Linked DNA regions of Neodiprion lecontei. The protein of the gene in region 2 interacts with the protein of the main gene of each other region in a pairwise test. Links are inferred from orthologs where the notes say so. Each region holds a gene or a part of one and is shown on either strand. Other genes may lie near its edges. The genes, in order: ras GTPase-activating protein-binding protein 1 and E3 ubiquitin-protein ligase SIAH1.

The links.
Region 1: the proteins of E3 ubiquitin-protein ligase SIAH1 (region 2) and ras GTPase-activating protein-binding protein 1 interact in a two-hybrid assay, tested with the Drosophila melanogaster proteins (2 studies listed by BioGRID). The link is inferred for Neodiprion lecontei from reciprocal best matches to the Drosophila melanogaster genes sina and rin.

Annotation. Positions count from the first base shown.
Region 1 is NC_060262.1:29,946,754-29,951,695, reverse strand, and holds the start of ras GTPase-activating protein-binding protein 1, read left to right. Parts: upstream 1-1,908; 5' UTR 1,909-2,081; intron 2,082-3,184; 5' UTR 3,185-3,339; coding exon 3,340-3,437; intron 3,438-3,972; coding exon 3,973-4,156; intron 4,157-4,275; coding exon 4,276-4,653; intron 4,654-4,942.
Region 2 is NC_060264.1:36,320,451-36,326,436, reverse strand, and holds E3 ubiquitin-protein ligase SIAH1, read right to left. Parts: upstream 4,231-5,986; 5' UTR 3,703-4,230; exon of another isoform or gene 2,962-3,702; 5' UTR 2,729-2,961; coding exon 2,500-2,728; intron 2,349-2,499; coding exon 2,109-2,348; intron 1,958-2,108; coding exon 1,765-1,957; intron 979-1,764; coding exon 801-978; 3' UTR 761-800; downstream 1-760. UniProt on the Drosophila melanogaster protein: E3 ubiquitin-protein ligase that is required for specification of R7 photoreceptor cell fate in the eye by mediating the ubiquitination and subsequent proteasomal degradation of Tramtrack (ttk).

The DNA.
Region 1 (4,942 bases), on a different chromosome or scaffold from region 2:
ATTTCATTTGTTTCAGATTTCCTGCCCTATAACAAATCTCACAACTCGACGAATCATCATTCCATTAAACCCCGTCAACAACAGCGCAAACAACCCATCAAAAACAGTCCACAGCAATAGTTTCTCATTTGCGTTCATCCATATTAACATAATATACTGCAGTACATGAAATCATTAAAATAACATAATATAGCCCAGCTCTTCTGTATAAATTTGTATTTCACCTAATAATAATGATAATAGTAATGGTAATGATAATATTATTTAATAACTAGTTGACAAGACAGAAAAAAAGTAAAAGCACGGCCCGAACAAACCGCTTGAATGATGCAGTTAATTTCTACACAGGTGTCAAGTATTATAGTAAATATAAAGATGTATGCTGACGCTGATTTCGCATATTCTTAGAATGTTGCAATACTGGTTTCATTTTTTGAATATTCGATGGATTGTAATGATGTATATCAATTGTACTCATAGCCCTATGCAGTTTGGCTGTTGTATATGACATAATTAGGCAAATTGGAACCGCAAATCTTATCTGAAGATAATTTATCTAATATGAGGTATTTATTATACAGAATAAATTCAATCTATAAATGCTGTTGAATGGGACCCACATGCTCTACTTGAGCGGTCCTATTTGACAGCAGAATGAGTTATACTATTATATAACTGGCAAATAGATCGGTTTTAACCTTGAATAATCAAAACTAAAGATCATACGTCCTGATTTCGGGTAATTTTGTGTGTGCACAATCAGTATATGAACAACATATAACTTATGGGAATTGATGATAAAATGATCGATAAAACAAGCCAATGAAGACTGTGAAACAAACTGCATTTTGTACAAAAGAAAAAAAAATTGATTTAAAACAAGATTAGGTTCGCTCCTATTCTGTGAGCTGGAGAGCATCCCGACATGTTGCAATCAACCATGTCCAACCATTTTAACAGTAAGATTATTTTAATTTTGTTTATAAATAAACTTAAAAGCTATTGTAGCGAAGTAAGCAGGCAATGTACTTTTTACAATGTTGTAAAAAGATTGCTTTCTTATTGTTAAACAAGATATAGAATTAAATAAAAACTCATTTTGTGTACATAAATTGTCTGACTATTCATCCTCATTCTTTCTATGTTACCTTGAGAACCTGCATCAAGTGTAACACTATACGTAATTTTTACTTTTAATGGCGGTTTGCGGTGTATCGCGTGAAAAGATGTTTGTACCATAAAGCCCATCTCGACAATACACAAATCAGTAACAGTAACTAGGTATGACAATTATACTTCACCATCAATCTAGTCCCCATTTAAATGCTGTGCCTAATTTGTCGTCACACTTAGTAGAAAATCATTCATACCGAGTGTAATTTTTATTTGTTTATTTAATTTAACGAGTGAAAGTAATATATTAGTGGTTTTATCGTGTATGTATGTCCGATGTACATACATGCATACATGCAGAAAACATCGCCCCAAAATATTCACTATAATTATAGTAATAGGAATTCAGGCAAGAGCTGGTAGCGCGGTAAATTATTTATTGTTCCCGGCTAAGTAATGCAAAGTTATAATATTGGAAAGCTATTTGAATCGGTTATATTCCCTTGCTTATTTCCCTCAATTACAGTATGATATCAGGGTATCGGAAGCAACAATAACCACTGCTATTTTACAGGATCATTCAGTCGTTCCATGTATTTTCGCACATAAATTTTGCAGAATGCGCCGAATATTTTTGTCCGAAATATGCAGCCATGTTTGTTTGTAACCGCAGTCAAACCGTTCGACCCTCCCGGGTTTCTGATGTGTGGGGTCTACACGATTGAAATCACGGCTAGCCTCGAAGCAGCTCCCAAAGCCTTTGGGTTCGAAGCCTCTCGAATCGCGCATGCGCATCCAGTGCATGTGCTGACACCACGGTACACTGAGGGTCCTACACCGAACTGTTTTTATAATTAACATTATTGTAAACTGTTATTATTCATACTGAACCTTGTTTCATCGAAATTTGTCCAGCGTAACACTACCGTGTAACTTAAGTGTAACCAAACGCATCAAGATCTGTGAAGGTGAGCATTGGATTAGACCGATATTTCGTGTATATCTCGCTAAGAACAGCACCACAATCTCAGAAGACCTTGCACCGAGCAATTTCGGCGTGGTTTCACATGCCATAGCCCTAGACATGCCGGCTTTGTAGGCTCAATTGAACATAGCGTTACACGCTCTATGGTATAACCTCACATTACTCGGTATTTGTTATCACTCAAAAAAATTTCTGTCAACTCCAAGTGAGCGATTTTTTCTTTTTTTTTTTTTATGCTACCGTAGCCCTTGGAAATTTTCGCAAAATGTCCACGAATTTAATCGCCATGCCCCGCCACAGAGCGCCACTCTGAGGACGCTGCGTTTATGCATTGTCCGCCTCGAGAGATTTTTCAGTTTGTTTAATCCTGGCATCTGGGTTCGGCCAATCTATCCGGATAGCGTCACTTGGGAACAAAATTCTGCCGAAGTAGAATTAACATACTCTACTCGCCTCTAATAATGCGCCCCACACGTCTTTGTATTCACCATAATTCCAAATAATTTGAATTTTTTTCTTGCACCTTCTGTTTTAATTTCATGTTCTCACCTGGTTCATGACTAATTTTTAGTATTCATCTACAGACTATCCATCATTATTTTGCTGTTTGATGCCCCTTGGCTTTTTTCTGAAGCTTGATATTCAATCAAGGTTGGAACGTTATGCCTAAAACACAGTGTTCCGTCGTGTAACTTCCCACAAGAAAAGATGCATTCACTTCCAAAGATAACGACTCCTATTTGCTTCTATTATATATAGATTATATTATACTCTGTAAATCAGTTGCCCGAACTCTGAAGTATGCATAGGTTGGAATTGAAGTAGTTTTAATGTAACTCGTACTGTTGTTGACAAATGCTTATTGTACAAGAATTTCAAACGTGACCAATGACTAATGACTGACAAATAGATTAGATGAAAGGAAAAACATATTTTGTATAAATATGCTGCCGTCTGAGATGTCTTTGAATATATTTTAACCCAGCCAAGAGTTTAGTATTTACATGCAGAACATTTCTACAGATAATCTATCCTTTTTTTTTGTACATTCTCATTAATTTTAATTATATTGCGCCTATGTTTCAGAAAATCTGCCTGCCTTAATATTTGTAAGACTTTTCAATCATCAACAACATCTCACTAGGTACTCAAGATAATCAGTTTGCTGAGAAATATCAACCTTGTTATATAATTAACTCATACTTGAAGACGGAAAACAGCGTCAAGGAGTAGGACAGGAAATGGTCATGGAGGCATCCCCCTCGCCCCAATCTGTCGGCCGCGAGTTCGTCCGACAATACTATACTTTGCTGAACAAGGCCCCGTCCCACCTGCATAGGTATTCTATAAGTTCATAAATGATTTATATAATTTGGTGTAGTAACAGATATGCCCTACGTTACCTGCACATCACAATGTGTTCATTTATTATTACTACCAGTACTCAGTCATTACATAATACTCTTTTGCAGAACTACTGTTCAGATTTGTTTATCATAAATCTATTACTGCTGCTGTAGTGCTTAGATGATAATTTCAATATTCTTCACCTTTGCTGTTCACTTACCACCATTTACTTCAGTGAAAGTAGTCTCCTTACAGCAGTACAGATTTTTCAACAGACATATCCAAAATTTAATGGACGTATTCATGTCACTCAAAGTTGTACCAATAATATTCGGAAATACGATTGTAAAATTTCTGTTGAGAAATTTGAGGTCAGATACAAAAAAACCAAACAGTATGTAATATTTGTAGCACTACAAGTTTTTTGGATTTATGATAAACTATGTGGTCTGTACTACGCAAAACCTACTCCCTGCTACGTCACCATATGATTATGAATTGTGACCTTTACCTAATTTCTCATTTAGGTTCTATAATAACCACTCGTCGTTTGTTCATGGAGGGCTGGACGCTCCTAACAGAGAAATAAATCCAGCTATTGGTCAGAAACAAATCCATCAAAAAATCCAACAATTGAATTTTCGCGATTGTCATGCAAAGATCAGTCAAGTTGACTCACAGGCTACACTTGGGAATGGTGTTGTTGTTCAGGTATATAATCATTCTAACATTTACAACTTTGACCAATCATTATGTAACCACTAGATTATTGACAAGTTTTTATAACAATTCTCTAGCATGATATAATTTGGCTGTAACAATTGTTACAGGTGACAGGAGAGCTGTCTAATGCAGGACAGCCGATGCGTCGCTTCACACAAACGTTTGTTTTGGCTGCGCAAGCACCAAAAAAGTACTACGTTCATAATGACATCTTTCGTTACCAAGACCTTGGCTTCCCTGATGAGGAAGAAGGAGAAGTTGAAGGTGGTGATGGGGGTATAGGTGAAGGCGTTGGTGAACGGGAACCTGAAGAAGGTGTGCGTTCGGAACCAGAAGAGGATGAACAACCCAATCAAGGGCATCAGTTGCCACCGGCAACTGCACCTCCAGAGCCACAAGGTCCACCTTCCCTTATTCCAAGTCAACAACCACAGCTTCAACAGCAACAGCAACACGTATACTACGCCCCGCCACCTCAGCAACCCGTAAGCTGTGTTTTAATATTGATACGCAAAACAATATTGTTTTTAACTGGTACTCACACATGTCAAGGGTACTCGACTATACACAACGAAGATTAGCTTCACATATTTCAATGTATCATGATTTATTTTGTGTAGTATTACGATCCCGCAATAGACAGGCTGCATAGAATTTTTGACATGGAACAGGGGAAAACTCGGGAAATTGGAGGTCTGGCGGTGGTGTGTTATCCTCAATAGTCAATTCTATTTATAGATTGTGATCTCCAGATGCAGCAAAATTTTATTTGCA
Region 2 (5,986 bases):
CAAAGTAGAGTGAATAGCACGTGTGAAGTAGTAGGTTATTGCGATAGTACAGAGTAGAGACCCTACAAAACAGAGTCAGGTCATTGCCTCCGCCTTGGCCGCCATTTTTTGATAAACCGAAATTGTGGGAAGATTTAAACACATAAGTAGGTAGAAACGTTGATTTTGTATAATAAACATATTGCAATATTAGCTTGTAATATGTTTGTTTATTAATATTAACGTTTCTACCTACTTATATGTGTTTAAAACTTCGCGCAATTTCGATTCATCAGAAAATGAGGACCAAGATAGAGAAGATTGGCCGGACTCTGTTTCGTAGGGACTCTGGCGCTCAGTAGCTGGGTCCGAAACATGCGAATCTACAGAATGTGTTATTATTTGGCAACTGTTGCGATTGTCAACTCTTCTCTACTGAATTACTGGCTCTGTGTGGACAGTAACTATACCTAAATTAGCAGAATTATTTATAGAAAAAGTATGTTTGTGTACTCACTATTAAATCTACTAATGTAAACCAGTTTTACCAGGTAATCGGCATTGTAACTACTAGCGAATAGTTAGAAATTAATTGCGAACCTAATGTTGGGCAAATTACATCTGCTATCTTGTATACAGTGATTGCGCTAACGATGGAAAAATGCTCTACCTTTGTTCCAAGTATATCAAGGCGGTAGGAACGGGAAGTCATGTAAGGTGACCTTATCGAATGTAGACATTTCCACTGTATATGTGATGCCATAAACGATTTTCACTGTCCAGCATTGTTCATTTGCTTGCTATCTGATCATTTGTTTATTTCAGGCCATAGAAATGGTCACGTTGATCCCAAGGTTTCCATTATCGGCAAATAATTGTGCCATCGACGTATCAAACACTAAGCAGTCGGAATTAAGAATAGCAGAAGATACACCTTCGTGGATAGATCTTGGCATAGCTTCCCACGTAAGCCGTCGTCTATGACCATTCAATTCCAATCTGAAATATCGAGAAAGAAAAAACCAGACTCAGATGCCATTATAACTTTCACAGCCAAACTTTAAACTCACAGGTCTTATCTTGTCTTCATTATTCTATACTGTGTATATAATCATATATTCATAAATATGCATGAAAATATAAACAGCGTTTAGTATAGATTGTATATGTATATTCAATCCATCTACGATGGAAGTCCGCGGACTTGATCCTGACTATAAAGCTGGTTATAAGTATATTATTTATAGAGAGCCATGTACTATAACTATAATGATGTAACATAATATTAACTCTATGATATCCCTGACATAAATTATAATAATGCAGGCTCTATCTGATATTTAGATTAATCTTTAAAAGTTAAGGAAAAATGGCTACGTCATGGAATAGGACTCCGTTGTGCTAAAATATTTCCCCATAAGCAATAAATAATCCAGACGATATTTTACGTATGGTAAATGACAAAAAGTGCAAAATAAATTCCAATTCACTCTTAGGAATATCGGAATAGGAATAAAATAATTAAATTAAAAAATTCAAATCAGACAAATCATTTTTCTTGAATATTTTTTCGAGTCCTCGATTTTTCCGACGAATATATCTCACGTCAATAAATCAATGATGAATATTTTGAAAAATTGATATGTTGAAATTAATTCATTCACGTATGTAATTGACAGTTCGATAAAAATCAAGTGCCTCCTACTTTTTATTCCAGTACCTGCCTGTTGTGACCTCAGTGGCAAATAATAAATAGTCACGAGATTATAAAAAAATAATATCTACCTGTACGCGAAGTTTTCAGCTTGTTTCCTTGAACCAATTAGTTGAACAATGGCAAAGAATTGCTGATGTCCATCATACTTTTCTTGTTTCTCCAAGACAAGCATAAAGTGATGACCAAAACATGACTGCATCATAACCCAATCTACTGCTCCAGAAAGATTGATATCCGTTGCTAAAAATACGATGTCTTCACCTAGAAGAGAATAGGATTGCTGCAGAATATGTTTCCAAATTACAGCACATCACCAATTACAGTAAGAAAAAATCCCTGTCTTTCCTAGTGATTAGTCTGTTGCATCGATTATTAGAAATAGTTGTAAGCTAGACTAATATTTGCAGATTACCTTGAAGGGTGGTAATACTCTTATGGCTCATAACAAGGTGAGGCATGACTTGTTCGAGAGATCCCTGCCACTTGCAAGAAGCACCGGGGCAAGGGCAACTGTAGGGTCGAAACTCACAAGCATCCTCATGATCAGCTTTCTCCGTGTGGACAAGAGATACAGTACAACCGCTTGTCGAATACTTGCAGGGGAACATTACATTGCTCGCTACTTTCTCCATTGCCAGGTTCCTGATGTTACCTGTTTGGTTGTTTGTTTTTTTTTTTTTTTAAATTCAAGGTAAACTGGACGAGAAGATAACATCATCGGTACCCATCACAGTCAAACATAGGTAGATACTATAAAAGTATAAGTAACTGGGACAAAGTTGGTGAATAATGTATGTACCAACCTAGGGGACCCCGACAAGTGGGACAACAGTTGAGCTTGGGGCGACAGTTGCTGCATACTAGATGACCGCTCTGGCATTGCAGTATAGGTGGCAAGACATAGTCAAAGCACACGGGGCATTCGAAGAGGCTGGCTAGATCCGCAGAACTGCTCAATGCAGAGGCTGCCGATGCTGAGGTGCCCGGTACTCCACGGCCTCGCTTTCCCGAACTTATATTCAATTGTGACATTATGTCGAGCGGATTGCAGACTGTAACGGGACGCTTCCTTCCTAGGTCACTGGTCTTATCTAAGTCTAATTTTTTGTGTGAAAGAACGTCCCCAGTTTCGTTTTATACCTGACCGGCTGTCCCCGATATCTGAGGTATACCTGGTGGGTTGGTTTATCTCGTTAACTCATTAACGATTTCATTACAAATTTTCCGCACCAGTGAGGTTCCACAAGAAAAGGATGCAAGGCGGCCTGTCACAACGTTCCGGTATTATTCATTGGATATTCTTATTTTGGTATTGGTTTTGGTATAGGTCTTGCTTACAGTAGTAATGATAAGATTAAAAAAAGGCACTTGAACGAATATTATCGTTGGACGCAAACAAGCCCGAGTCTTCCGACATGGAAACTAACCCCTTCTTTCTGTGGTACGGATAGTGTCAACGTTTACGGACACTCGATAATAAAAAAATAAACCGAATCGACGGGAAAGCTACATCGCGACGTAGCGAGATCGAGGCGCGTCGACGGTTTGCTCTGCGGTGGTGGTGCTGTGTACGGGCGGTGGCAACGGCAACGGAAGCTGCGAAGACAATGACAGCGACAACGGCGACGGCAACGACGACGGCGATGATGATGATGATACTGATGATGATGATGATGATGATGATGATGGTGATGATGATGAAGATGATGGCGATGGCGATGACGATGACGACGACGAGGATAACGAAACTGACAGTAATATTGACACTGACAAGGAGGGCAAAGACGTCGGGGGTGTCAACGGCATCGTGGCGTCGGACGATTGCCGGCGAGGGCGCGGACTTGGATCTACGGAGGACGTGATCAAACTCAGGCTCTGATCTAGTAGATAGACTGAAGACTGACGAGCGACGACAGGCGATAGGCAGTGGCGACTGGCGACGTTTACAAGGGGCCTCTACCTACTACATGCACGCCGTACGCGTACGGCGTGTTATCTAGTCTTACTTTGTCACTTCTCCACTTCAGCGCATGCCAGTACGTATGTATGTACGTACATGCATACACACCATGCGTACATTGTATAGTTAGTAGCCAGTACTTATATCTTCATTATGATTCACAACAGACGATGCGCGAACGTTATCCGTCGTATCTCTGGACACTTCATGCTGATAAAATGTCTATTGGCTGATTGTCTTTCTTTTTTTCAAGTACTGCAAAAATTACCACTGCACTAGCGACAACTTCTGCTTATACCTGCTTTCGATGCATGTACGCAGTCAAGCACGTATAGGCAAATACATGCACGCCTACACATTTACCAACGTTTGCAATACGTGCACTACACGACTTACATATTTCACCACACTAGACCAGAAAAAAAAATAGATATGTTAGGCCTCGTCCGATTATCACATCACATGGATTCTTTTTCTTCCTCTTCCAATCGGCTGTCTCCTTCCATCACACAATTCAATTACTGGCACAGCACCTTTCAATGCTGTCGGTAATCTTTTGCGTTTGCGCTAACGAATTAACGACTAGCCCTGCCTGTGTTCTAGGGAGTTTTTATGACTAGCAGTTTGGAGTGTATAGAAGGAGGGCACTCTCTAATGTATGGCGCGTCAGAATGTGGTCAAATTCTGTAGGCAAGTAAGGGAACATAGAATAACCGACGTGGCGCCGATTATTACAAAGTTGAATGTTGAAGTTAGTTACACTTAAACTTATGATATTTGAAACTAACTTCAGATGGTTCAGATCAGCAACTTACGTTTTCACAGCACCACTCTTATTTGTACCCATAATCAGCTCACTTTTTATAACCCTTAAGATATCCCCCCCTACTATACACTCCACAGCTAGCAGCCTGGCAGCTGATTTCAGGCGACAAACTTATTTCAGACTCATTTTTCAAGACGTTCAAGATTTCAGGGTCTGGGGATTTTTGAAACTGGACCCTAGATATCGCATGCGACATTTGGGGTCCTTGTTCAGAGAATCTAACTCGGAACCATGTTCAGAATGTTCAAACCACGTTCAGAAGGGACTGTTCACCGCACTCACAATGAGTTATCGGATTTTTCGAAGTGTCGTTTGATTTGTTCCACTGAGAATTTTTTTTTTCTACCCCCTCGGATGAGAGCATGGATATTTTAACAAGCCCTCCACCTGATAAGCCAAAGATTTTTGCACGATATTTGTTTCGGTTCCGATTATGCCACTTCATATGATTATTAATTTCATTATTTGTATAGTAATTTATTATGTGATTATTTTATCGAATTTACAAGATTAATCATGTAATGAATTAAATGCTGATTTTTTTCAAAACATTTTATAATTTGACGCGAAAGGCCTCTCAGTTCCGGTGTCTTCACGGTCTTGGAATATTCTTGAGGAATAGATTCTGATAAAAGCACAAAATCAATCAACATTGACGAAATTTTACATCGTGTGAATTGTGAAATATGCGTGCGTCACTAATGTCGATTAAAATCTGAGCCTAGACATCTTTTATCAAAAAAAAGTAGGAGTGCATTTCTCCATGCAATCCCAAACAAATAGACACCAAAACATCTGTGAAACGTCTGAAAACTCTGATTACCATGACTCCGAGCTGAATTCTCCAATCATGGAAAATCGTCGATTGTAACAATTTCGTAGTAACTCATTACCGCGTTCTCATGCCCTTTTTTTAAAATATAAGTTGCCTAGGCTTAGAATTTAATCGACCTAAGCGACGCACCAACATTTCACGATTCACACGCCATGAAATTTTGTCGATTTCGATTGATTTTATGAGATTCTATTCCTCACGGAACATCCAAGGCCGCAAAGGAAACGATTAGGATGCATAGTTTTCGTAATATTGGAAAAAAATTCTGGGGAACAGTAATTTTTTTGAAGCCTGGCGAACTTCGGTACAGGAGTCCCCTACCGCTACCGACTCAATTAACTTTGGCGTGGAGGTAAATGTAGGGCATGGCAGTTACCGCCGCCCAGTCGTGCTCCTTTCCATGCTTGAAAAGAATAATACCCATGGCTGGCTGCTTTGGCAATTTTCAGTCGACGCTGAACCACAAGAGCACCTAAAGAGGCATCACTGATACCTGACACCGATTATGATCTAAAAACTGCGTCGATAAGTTGAGGGCACTACACTTAACTTCGATTCTTCCGTGCTGTAAACGTAAAATTATTATTTCTCCTATCACGGATCCGCATTTATATCAGTAAAAAATATGTAATTCGATCGACTAACAGAAGATCGATCAAGAATTTCGCT